2 linked regions of the Schizosaccharomyces pombe genome follow. The gene in region 1 interacts genetically with each later gene. Each region holds a gene or a part of one and is shown on either strand. Other genes may lie near its edges.

Region 1 (8,181 bases):
GGACCGATTGCAATTTCGGTTAAGTTCGTATCCACATTGTGTAGTTTCGACAAGTAAATATGAACTTACAAAAGTTTTTCTATTAATCAGTATAGTTATAGTAGAGATACGTTGAATAAAATTATGTGTTTTATAAATCAATGGAATAAGCAAGCAATCAGACCCACATAAAGAAGCACTTTGCTACATGAAAATCGCGCTAAGGAATCAGCAATAAGACAATTAGAGAAATATGAAATAAAGAAAAAGAAGCATGCGAGAATTTGATATGTTGATGCAATTTATCAATCTACTACTTTGTAAGCAATGAAGCAATGATTTGTTCGAAAGTCACAGAGATTCAAAGTACTGAACCATACATGATTTTGTCAATAAGCTAACAGGGCATAAGGCCCACAATCTATCTTTAAACAATAAAATTAAAAAAATAAAATAGCAATAATAAGAGAAGGAGCCTACAGCACCCCGGATTCCCATGTTGTCTCCAACCATAGTACTAACGAGGCCCTCAGACGCTTAACTGCAGTGATCGGACGGGAACTGGTGTTTTCGCCTAGGTATGGCCGTAGACAATGTTTTTCAACAATAGTAAATTATATGGTAATTTTATGAAAAATTTTATGATTAACTGTTAATGAAAAGAAAAAGTAAAATAATGAAGACGACATTTTGTCAGTGTAGACTTTTGAGCATGAAATTTGTGAATGATCAAATTCGATTAATTGATAATATTTTTTACTACGTTTTATTTTACCAAAAGTATTTGCAACATCATATCGATTATGAAAAAAATTTTTTTTTAAACAAAGTAAATTAATATATTTGTTCTATTTTCATCTGTTAAAATTTTATTTATTTTTTACAATCTATTCGCATTTTTAATTTAAATTAATTTTATTATTTTTTTTATATCATTTTATTTTATTTTACTTTACTTTTTTACGGTTTTTTTTCCTTGCATGTCTTAAAAAAACGTTTATAACGGTAAATTTGCATACATGCTCAAAAGAGAAAAAGTCGCATATGTCAATAGTCTTATCTTTATAAAGAGTCCAAATTGCATAAAGCCGGACCATATTATAAAAAACAAAGATAGCTAATTGAATCATTTGAACGAACGTATCAAACATGTTCAAAAGGACACCTTAATCACATGACTTGTGCAATAAAATATTAAAACGGATTTTAGATGCGGGATGACTAATTTGATGTGGAGAAAAAAATAAACGATAGATGGTAATTACCAAATAGTTTCTTTTGAGTTGCAGAAACATTGGCAGGTAAGCTAGCTATACCATGCAACAAGGCCTGACTTGGCTTCCCCTTGTATAACATGTTCATTTGTAGTTGCATATTTGCAGATCATTTTTATACATATTCTACTTTTTCACAGACATGGCTAAGGAAGTATGTAAGGAGGAAATGTATGCTAATTTAATTCTCAACAAATCCATCTTGTTGCATTGTCGGCAGTAGAATTTTTGTTTTTAGTTATGAATTACTTTTTGAGTAAGTACATATAAGATGATAGTTTAAGAAGGAAAGTCGATCTACACACGTTTAAAAATTGTTGAAGCGATTCGTGCATCGGTCAATTGTATACTTTAAAGCTTTTCTTTCCTTAGGTCACATCTAGAACTTATTGAACACGATTTCAAGTTGTGAAGAGGAAAACGGATGCGATCCACTTTTACCGGAGCTGGATGATTTTTCCAATCACATTGTTTACATGTCAAAAAGGGAGCACAAGAAGTCGTAAAGCAAGGATCGCATAGAAAATGTAAAGGAAATTAAAAAAAAAGATGAATGAATGAATGAATAATAAATAAATGGAACAAAAAAATGAATGAATAAATTGAATAAATAGATTAAATAACGAGAACAGAAAATAGAATCTTAAAAAAAAAAAAAAAAAGGACAAACAAGGAAACCTTAAGGGTTGCGTATGTTTGTATGTGCTTTTCAGATTCACCCTTTATTCGATTTCTCAGTATTGTTTTCTTTGCCTGGCTGGCTTACCTTTTCCCGTAGATGCCAGCCATCTTGGTAAATGTACATCCCCCACATAGACCCATGTCCCCCAGTCGACTGCAAACATGAACCACTTTGCTACTAGCTAAAAGGAACTGACTACAACTTTGAAAAAGTTCCTATGTGGGGGTGAGGGGGGAAAGAAAAATGCGGAGGAAGTGTTTCGGGAATACCGTGTTTCTGCCGAAGTCTTTGCCGGTCGTGGACCGGGTGTCCGAGGAATTCCCTCATGACAACGAAGCCGAGGGTGTCGCAAATGGGATAGCGAGAGAAAAAGAGAGAGAGCAGCTGAAAGGAAATAGCGATGAGAGACGAGGAAGAGAGAGAAGAACTGAGTAATGCGATAGAGGAGGAAAAGAGAGGTGTGTTATAGCACCACACAATTTTGAAATGTAAAATAAAATCAAAGACATGATGAATCAATCATCTTTGTGATAAATCAATTCAAACAATCAATGGTGCTTTTGTGCATAGTCAATCGTCCATTGACTATTCAACTCATTGACCTATTCAACCCATGACAAACATAGTGTCGACCTTAGCCTTTTCTCATCCCATTTTATTTTTCATCCTACATCTTTACGTCTACAATTTACGCATCCCTTCATCACCAACCCAATCCTTCCTACACCTATCTCCATCTTACAAATCTTACTCATTCATTTGATAGCTAGAGCCATCATCCTGTATATAGACTCAAAAAGAATGGAATGGGCCTTGTCTTTTCCATCTTTCTCCATGATACGAATTTACGGACTAGTGTGCTTGTCACTTTCCACTCGCTAATCTCTAGCACGTGGAATGCAACCGCACAGGGAAACGAGGATGTAAAGCACCAAGCAAAAGCAATGCAGTGGAATACGAAAACGGTGTGTGTAACGACATAAAAAAAATCTCATTCTTATCAGTAATGATTAGATAGTGTCTTGTTCTTTGTCTTTGTTTTTGCTTCTTGACTTGCCCGATATACTTGTATTAAAAATATACTCCATAGTACCGGATTTTACGCATTGCTGGGATGTAATAAATGTGTGATATTATTATTTTGTTACTGCAGTGAAATTGGGTTGGTTCGTAAATTGAGGTATAAGCTTGTTAAACAAAATGGAAGAGAGACTGATAATCGTAGTAAATGAACCAATAAATGGAAATGTATTTGACCCAGAAAATCAAATGATTTCAGCAAAGAGAGATTGGAGGCAAAAAGAAGAAAAAGAAAAAAGAAAATGGCCAACCGAGAAGAAGAAGAAAATTTTTTTAGCGGAAGAGAGAAAACATTTTGAGAAATTTAACGAGGAACGAGTAAAAGAGTAAAGAGAAAATAAATAACAAAAGAATATATAATGAAAGAATTAATAATCAAAACATTTACAATTTAACTCTAAAATTACCATTTACCTCTTTTTCTTTTTCTTCTTCTACTATACTTCTATCCACTTTACTCATCTCTTCTCTTGCCTTTTTTTTTTTTCTCTCTCTCTCTCTTTCTTTTCTCTTTTCTCCTTTCTCTTTTTGCTGCCCTACTCCCGCTGCCCTGCCGACGTCCTTTACCCTGTTTTTCCTCTTCTTCCTCTTTTCCTCGTTTTGCTCCCGGAAAAACGATAAGCTTTTCTAACGTGTTTCCTTCCCCTAACCTGCAATCTTCACATTTGCATCGGCAAGGTAGCAGGGGCGGTAGTTACGTTGGACTGGGGTGGCTAGATTCATCTTTAAAATAGTAGGGTCAGGATGATTGTACCATAGAATTGTTTTTTGTCCTCTACTCTTATCTAAGATTTGAAGGCATATCTATTGCAAAAGCAAAAGTATCTGAAACTTCGATGACTGCGTATTTTTTCATATAAAACGATATTGACCGGCATTGTTGAGTTGCGAATTGCGTTTGGAAAACCAGCGGAAAAAAAAGTAGGACATAGCAAATTGATTGCTTAGCTTTTGTAATAAGAAGGGATCAGGGCTGTTGTTGTTTTCTTGGTTTAGAAAAAAACAGAATCAAAAATAATAAAGCAAAAAAGAATATTTTGTTCTTTTTCCTCCACTCCCCATTTTATTTCACCCAACGGACTTTGTGTGAGAGCGATTATCGGTTCGTCTGTTATTCAAGACATACTTTGTATTATTTGGGTCTTTCTGTTGCTTGTGTGAGTGTATCTGTGTGCGTGGGTTTTTTTGTGTGTGTGTGTGTATCTTTTGTGGTGTGTATAATTAGTTATCGTTTTCAATTTGTTTAATTTTACTCTTCTTCTTTTAATTTGGCAATCCACTTTTTCTTTGGGCCATTCATTTCTATACTATACTAAATACCCTATACCCTCTACTTTATAATTTTAGTATTCTTTCCTTGGATTCAATTATTGCTTTTCACTTTAAAAAAAAAAAACAAGAGTCGATAAGCATTTCATTCCCATTTTCTTCATCATTGATTAGTTTTATTTTATTTATAAATTCTCTATACTGTCTTGATCCCCTTTTTTATCTGCTTTGGATTTACCTATTTTGAACTCGTTCCCTACAAACTTTTACATAGCAAGTTAATTCTTCCTGCTGTGTTTATAAGACATATAGATTTTTATACATATATTATATTTCTGTTCCTTTTCTTTTTTCTTCTTCTTCTTCCTAATTCCCCTCCCATTTTTGCTTCTGCGTCGATTGTTACTGCGTACGTTGCAGCATACTCTTCATTTTCTTCTAGCTGTCTTTTCTTATTCTATTTTTTTATTTTTTGATACACGATGTCAATTCTTAATGTCATCCGCTCCCATCACGACGTGGAACCACAGAATGTTGAAGAGGAGCCTCCATTGACCGGGCAAACTATCGTTACCGAAGACAAACTAGAGACTTCTGCCAAAGACAAGAAACATGAGTCACCTAGTATGTCGGAGGATGAAGAGGGCTCGGTGGAAAATGTTGATGCTTGGGATCTCACAAAGGCTCTTATGTCCATTGATCCCAACCATCCCGCTCATCCTCATAAATGGCCCTTGTGGAAAAAGTTGTTTGTTGCTACCGTTTACACATTTTTAGAGGTATATGTCATTTGGTCATCCACCGCCTGTATCAACTTCTTTGATATTTATCAAACTAATTGGCATTGCAGTATTCAAGTCTCCTATCTTGTACAAAGTCTTTTCATTGTCGGTAATGCTTTTGGTCCCATGCTTTTAGGTCCCATGTCGGATATTTTTGGTCGTAAATGGGTTTATGTTGGCTCTCTAATTCTTTATATTATTTTCCAAATTCCCCAAGCCCTTGCTTATAACTTACCCATGATGGCAATCAACAGTGCTATTGCTGGTGCCTTTGGTAGTTCTGCTCTCGCTAACGTTGCAAGTAGTATGTGTGATATCTTCACTCCTGAAACCGTCGGTTTTGGTATCTCTCTATTTGTTTGGGGTGCAAATGCAGGTGCCTCTATTGGGTCCCCCATTGGTGAGGCTCTTTATGATCATTGGCGTTGGTTTTACTGGATGAATATGATTGTTGGTGGTTTCTTTGTAATTCTTTGCGTATTGTGTCCTGAGACCTTACCTGTCATCAACATCATGAACTATTCTTCTACTACTGGAGAAAAAACCGTTCAAGTCTCTACTCTTGCCAAAGCTAAATCAGCTGTAGTTCGTACAAAATTTGTCTTATCCACCGCTTTTAAACTTTTGTGTACAGAGCCTATCATTATGGCTTTGGGTTTGTATAACGGCTTTGCGTATGGTTTGATTTTCCTTTACTTGGATGGACTGTTTCCCGTATTTGTCGACAACTACAAAATGGGATACATGGGTGCAAATCTCACTTATTTGAACTTTTTGGTTGGTGTCACCATCGTTGTTATGCTTCAACCCATTCAAAATTGGCTTTATCGTTGGGATAAAAGGCGTCATGGAGGTGTAGCGCGTCCAGAAGCACGTTTCTTGATTTCTCTGCTTACCGTTTGGTTTTTCCCAGCAGGCTTGTTTTGGTTCGCTTTTACTTCAGATGGCCGAATTTCTTGGGTAAGTCCTTTAATTGCAGGTGGTGTTTTAGGTGTTGGTGATCCTCAACTTTGGCTTGCCATGATTAACTATATTACTGATTCCTACCCATCGGTTGCTGGCTCCGCCATCGCTGCTTTCACTTTACCAAGTTTTGCTATTGCTGCTGTTCTTGTACATCTTGGTATTATCATGTTTGACAATATGACTACCACTTGGGCCATGGCAACTTTGGCTTTTATTAGTTTGTCGCTTGTGGCCACGATTTATGTTATTTACTTCTTTGGTCATCTCATTCGGAAACACAGTCGACTTGCCGTTACTCAACAAGCATTACAAGAAGCACATGATGCCAAGGTTTTACCTGAAGTGTAGTGTTTATTCCATCATTTCTCCCTTTTATCATTCATGTTAGCATATGTAAAAGTTGTTATGTTCGTATTGATATACACTCATCCAACTTTCCTTTTACTGTGAACACCCGATTATGTATGTACCCCTTCTTTTTTGGCAATATGCATCTACTTCTTTTTGTCGATAATTCGCTATTCTTTTCTACCTTTTTTGTACTAGTTATTGTTTACTAATTGAAATCTGTCCTACTACAGCTATTGCAGTTGAAATTACAGTCGTCTTAAAAAATATAGCTTAAAAAGTTACGTTTATTAAAAAGCTGCCTTATAGCACTCGTAATTTTTAGTCGCACAGTAGTTTATACTTGCAAAATAGCAATGTTTAATAGATTATGTAGTATTATATTCCTAATCGGCTAATGATGACTGGAAATGCGAGTTTCAATCCCCATGTATTCTGGACGACCGAAACAGCATTGATGGTTTTAGCGTAGACCGACTGTGTAGATGTATTAACTTCAGACACTGAGCTGACCTCTTCTGCTCTACATTGTCTTTCCAGAACGGCGATCATAATCGATGTCAACCGATTCATCGACAATTCCCGAATTCCAAGTAGCAATAGATAGCATGTCGTTTCTTTGAACATGTAGTTGGAAAAATTAACACAATTTATAAATTACATACATATAGTCAAAACACAACCTGCGTCTCTTTTTTAACATACAATATGTCCAGCACTGAACTTTCAGAAAAGGATTTAGCTTATCTACGAGAGGCCATCAAAGTTTCTCAGCAAGCTCGTGATGAAGGTCAACATCCATTTGGATGCATTATTGTTGATGAAAATGACAATGTTATTATGTCTGCGGGAAATCGAGTTCCAGACGGGGATGTAACTCAACATGCTGAGACCCGTGCCGTAGGTTTGATTACGAAGACAAGAAGAGACCTTGAGAAGTGTACTCTGTATACCAGCACGGAGCCTTGTGCCATGTGTTCTGGTGCTATATTTTGGTCTGGTATTCGCCGAATGATTTTTGGCTTATCGAACGAAAATTTGATTAAACTGACACAGAAAAGTGGTGAGTGCCCGCCTTTATACATTAATTCACGAGATATTCTTGGAGCTGCCTCTCATCCTATTGAGGTGGTGGGTCCCTACATTGAAGATGAAGCTATTATCCCTCATAAAGGCTTTTGGGATGGAGGAAGATAGCTGCTTCAATCTCATATGTTAATGTCAAAAGCATATTCCTTGAAACTTTGCTAATACGTCCACACGTTTTATCGTTTCTGCTAGCTAGTAGGGTAGACTCTGTTCAATGTTTATGAACAAATGTAATTATTCTATTTCCTCCAATTGAACTTCTTAGTAATTAAAACTGTAATTACTTCTATGCTCAAATTGCAATATATCTTCGTGTACAATATTTACTTTCTTGCCATGGTATACAAATATCAATACGGGCCTCAGGCAAGTTACAAGATTAATTCGTTTTATAAATTAAAATTTTTAATGCCGCTTTTGTTCAACCGAATGCCTATGATCCTATTCAAAATCATTAGTGACCAAAGTGGGTTTTTTGCTCATATCACCAAAAAGAAAGTGTATAATGGTATGGTAAATATAATCTGACTGGACTAAATTTCTCAGTTTATTGCTAAATCCTCCTAGAAAATGGAAACAGTTTAGTGTTTATTACACACGCGAAAATTATCCAAAAAATGAAGGTCTTCAGCATAACTCTTGTTGGGATCACTTAACCCTACTTTCACGAATCAATCATTTACCAAGAATAATCATTTTTTTTGTGCTATTT
Region 2 (4,898 bases), 700 kb from region 1:
TCTAAAGACTTTGTTTGGAATTAGCAAAAGCTGAAATTTAAAACATTCCCAAATGATCGTTTATAAACCAAAATTGTTACTGATTGTTTACAAATCTAATGTTGATTTAGTCCAACGAGTTATTTCATATCAGATTGATTGCTTGCGAAAATATTGCAAACTGGCGTATCTTACACAATCGAACCATGTTATAAAGTTCATTCACAATCAATAAAAAAAAAACTTCCGCGATTTAATAAGAAATCCTAATATAAGGGGGCCATATTCATGACTTCAACATGGGCATACCCAAATCATCAATTTATTTTTGTATACTATTATTCTGCATTATTTCATTCTATTTACAGTCTTCTAAAGATGGGCCTAAGGAACTAAAAGTCAAGTATGTATTTCTAAAAAAAGCCACAGCAAAGCAAAGAGGAGAGTCATCCTTGACAGATTCAGATTATTTTCCTAAGCAGCCCAATATGAACGCTACTTTGTTTATGCTTTGCCGTAATAGAGACATTAAGGACGCTCTTGTTTCCATACAAAGCGTCGAGGATCGGTTCAATCATCGCTATCATTACCCATGGACATTTATGAATGATGCCCCTTTTACTAAAGAATTTATAACAGCTACTTCAAAAATGGTGAGTGGGGATGCTACCTATGTCCAACTCAACAACGAAGAGTGGGGAATTCCTATAAACATCGATTTAAATCGTATGTTGAAATCAATTCGGGATATGACCGATGACAAAGTAATATATGGATTTTCACTGAGTTATCGGATCATGTGTCGCTTCAATTCAGGATTTTTTTATCGAAACAAAGCCCTTTCACATTATGATTATTACTGGCGCGTTGAACCCGGCGTTGAATATTCTTGCGATATACCTTAGTAAGTGCACAAGAAAAATTGACTATTTAACTCTTGTTTTTGTAATATGATAGAATTTTGTCACTAACCAATTCTTTAAGTGATCCTTTTCGAAAGTTGAGTGACGAGAATAAGGCGTATGGGTTTGTCATATCAATGACGGATTATTATGAAACCCTCCCTTCTTTATGGAACGTTACTCGAGATTTTATTCACCAAAACCCACAATATCTTGCACAAAATAACTCCTTGGATTTTATCGTTAATGACCACCAGGGGTTAAGTGGTGACTACAATCTCTGCCATTTTTGGAGTAATTTTGAAATTGCCAATTTAAATTTCTTTCGAAGTCCTGCATACACAGACTACTTTGCGCACTTAGATAAAAATTATGGATTTTTTTACGAGCGCTGGGGGGATGCTCCCGTACATTCACTGGCAGCATCGCTATTTCTGAACAAATCGCAAATACATTACTTTGAGGACTTTGGTTATTACCATTTACCCTGGTACCATTGCCCTACGGATGTACAGTCGCATGCGACAGCTAGATGTCTATGCGATCCGACTGGTACGATTGATTATTTACCCTTCTCTTGTGCTATTAAATGGTTAGAAAACATCAATAGTTAAAATACATATTACTTGTAATTCCCGAGATTACCTATTTTATTTTTGATATTTGTTTTAAAAACATATTTATTGTGGACATAAACAAAAGCTGATCGTTAACTAATGATGAAAACAAAAGACTGGGAATATCAAGTATTGACACAAATTTTTTAAGTTTTAGAACAATTTGCAAATATTGAAAAGTGTGGACCCTATAAAATAAGAAGGTAAAAAAAAAAACTGAAACGATTTTAAAAAGGAAAAATAATATAAAAAATCTAAGAATGAATTTAGGAAGCTATCAACAGGCATCTGACTTTAGTTGCCAAATTAGTAATTTCTTGTTCCTTGGAATCGTTCGTTCGTACACTTGCCAACAAACTTAATATCTGAAACAGTCGAGCGAACACCTCTCCTGCATTATCTAAAGCATTTTCAGCAGATTCGGCACGCCCAATACAGATTTGTATCCGATTTGCAATTGGCAAAACCATATAATCGCGAAATGTCATCAATGCAAGACGATGGACATTTAGTTTTTCCCTATTTGTGGAACAAAACTCATTTACTTCATAGGGTAATTGTGTTTTTTCTTGTTCATCAAACAATTTTGTCTTTATAGGTAAAAACACACCTTGAACGTATGGCAATACGGAAGAAAAGAAAAACAGCCATGTTTCTATGATACGATTCAAAAATAATTCTTCTGGAACAGGCGATAAACTGTCCGAAAGGCACTTGGTAGCCTTACGGAATAGTGTCTCCAAGTGTCCAACAAACTCATTCATCTTCGTATCACGGATAAGAGCTTGTAAATGTAATATAAGAATTCCATTCAAATCTTCAAGAGAATAGTGCAAAGCCTCACCCGAATATAAACTACAAACTTCGGATTCCACAATAAGCCAAGTTTCATCCGCGGATATGGGAACCAGGTTAAAGCGACCTTCTAAAGGAGAGCGAACTTTGCCCAATTTAGCAAATGCAAGAGAGGCTGCACCGAAGCCATTGATTATTTGATTTGTAACAAGTGATTGTGGGATGGAAGCGCCAAAAATTCCCCCAGCGTCTCTTCTTCCTCTTAAGAAATTTCGAGACCCGTTGAGCGTTTTCTGCAAAGCAGAAAGATCTAAACCATCTTTAGGCTTTTTATGCTTATGCGGAGAGAGGTTAAGCAGCGATAATTGAGTTTTCGTAGAAATACTTTGAACTTCGGCATTAACATTAGAAGGGCTAGTAGGCGTTAAAACGTTCAACTTTCCTGGGCGCTTGGAATGCTTACTCCAATGTGTTTCCTCAAAAACCGGATGACTGCTACTTTGACTAGATCTTCTGCTAAATGGCCATTGTCCATTAAACGGACTTTTAATGTTTTCAGTCGTGTCAGAGTCGCCAACGTTTGATTCCTTAGTAGTAACAGTCTCCAAGTCTTGGTTCTGCCCATTTTCCGACAACGAAATAGTGTTAGAAACACTTTCAATGCTAGTTTTAGTGTTTTTTGGAATCCAATTAATGGATGAGGCGCTCGAGGTAGATGAAAAAGATCCCCTCCCTACCATCTTTAGTAATATTTTTGGAAATGTACTGAGGGTATCCAAGAAATTTGCTTTTAGTTACGCGAAATGCGATTCTTCAAAATAAGCATGAGATGATATTCATTGTTCAATCATTATAAAATGATTAAACTTACTTAAAAAAATGATATTTTTTAGAAAGATAAAAAATTTTGTTTATTTTTGAATATGGTGGTATTTTGCTAAAGTATCGATGTGCGCCTTAAATTAAGATAAAATATAGAAACGAAAAATTGATTAAGAATTCCTTATAACGATATCGTTCTAATGTGAATTGAATGAATAGCATGTTGATATAATAATTGTATGCCAAAGAAAAAAATAGTTAATGCTAAAAGAAAACATGGAATGTTATTTGCTATATAACTTTTTAAAAGTTAGTAATAGAAAACGCAGTAAAAAAACATTGATTTTGTGAATTACTATCATTTGACAGAGTATTTACGGTACATATTACGACAATTCAGTTTAGTAGATGAAAAACAACAATATATATCTAATTTTCTAACAAAAAATGTAAACAAAATTGATTATGAAAAGAAAGGGAATAACGAAAACCAGTATTTACAATGTAAAGCTTCCAGCTAAGCTTTTCGTAACCCCCCTATCAAAAAATTTTTTGGTTGGCAAATGAGAGCAAGGTTAATATATGTTTTCGAGGAACAAGATTTCTCGTAATAATCACTTTTTATCGCACTATATAACCAATCCATTCAATGACCAAGTCTACGAAAACATACACTTTTACTTACTTAAAGCCTTCAAAGTGCTCTCCATGATATCCAAACCCTTAGCAATAACCTCATCTTTAACATTCAAACTAGGAAGGACACGGGTGTTGTTGTTTCCACCTGGTAAGAGTAAAAGACCTTGTTGACGAGCAAGCTCAATAAATTTAGCAGGGGGCTCGGTAAATTGCAAACCAAGAAGAAGACCACGACCAGCATATCCACGAATAAGATTAGGGTATTTGGCAACAAAGTCATCAAAACGTGAAGTAAGAGCCTTGTGTTGCTTTCTAACGTTTTGTAGAATCTTGGATGACCCTAATTCATTAACACAGAATGTGCCTACACGGCAAGCAACAGGATTACCTCCGAAAGTACTGCCATGTTCACCAGGGTGAATTTCAGCAGCGATCTTACTGGAGACAATGGTGGCGCCGATAGGTAGACCATTAGCCAAAGGTTTGGCAACTGTGATAATATCGGGACTAGCGACATCCTTAACGATACTATGGGCCCAAAGATCACCGCTGCGACCAAGTCCGCATTGAATTTCATCATAGATTAAAGAAGCACCAACCTTATCACAGGCCTTGCGCAAAGCAATCAAAAATTCAGGCTTGGCAGGACAAATACCACCTTCACCTTGAACGGGCTCGACAATAACAGCCGCAGTTTTGTCATTGACAAATTGCTCTATGGATGCAGGGTCATTATAGACGGCTTGGACGACATCAGGAAGTAATGGTTGGAAACCACGTTTATATTTGGGGTTCGCAGTGATACTAAGAGATCCCAAAGAACGGCCGTGGAAAGAGTTATTAAAGTAAACAATTTGACTCTTCCCTTCTCCATACTTCTCAAACGCTGCCTTACGAGCGAACTTCAAGGCTGTCTCATTGGCCTCAGTACCACAATTGGCAAAGAAAATTTTTGTGGGGCCAGCAATACCGCTATTTTTTGCCAAAGAATTATTAATGACATTAGATAGCTCAATGGCAGGCTCGTTGTAGAAAAGGTTGCTACTATGGACTAATTTGGAGCATTGATCAGCGGCAAGTCTAGCAACTTCAGGATGAGCATGACCCAAAGATGTAACAGCTACGCCAGAGGTGAAGTCAATGT

What was found. Genes that interact genetically often act in the same process or in processes that back each other up.
Region 2: mutations in SPOM_SPCC965.13 (region 1) and bit61 together harm fitness more than expected from each alone (negative genetic interaction), as found in Schizosaccharomyces pombe (one large-scale study listed by BioGRID).

The regions. Positions count from the first base shown.
Region 1 is NC_003421.2:2,307,714-2,315,894, forward strand, and holds SPOM_SPCC965.13 (pyridoxal family membrane transporter), read left to right. Parts: upstream 1-3,785; 5' UTR 3,786-4,766; coding exon 4,767-6,380; 3' UTR 6,381-6,687; downstream 6,688-8,181. Other genes in the region: SPOM_SPCC965.14C (cytosine deaminase), read left to right, coding at 7,089-7,577.
Region 2 is NC_003421.2:1,609,532-1,614,429, forward strand, and holds bit61 (Protor homolog, Bit61), read right to left. Parts: upstream 3,233-4,898; 5' UTR 3,034-3,232; coding exon 1,765-3,033; 3' UTR 1,516-1,764; downstream 1-1,515. Other genes in the region: alpha-1,2-mannosyltransferase Omh3, read left to right, coding at 279-883, 964-1,495; arg1 (acetylornithine aminotransferase), read right to left, coding at 3,793-4,898. UniProt on the Schizosaccharomyces pombe protein: Component of TORC2, which regulates multiple cellular processes to control cell growth in response to environmental signals. TORC2 is required for cell survival under various stress conditions.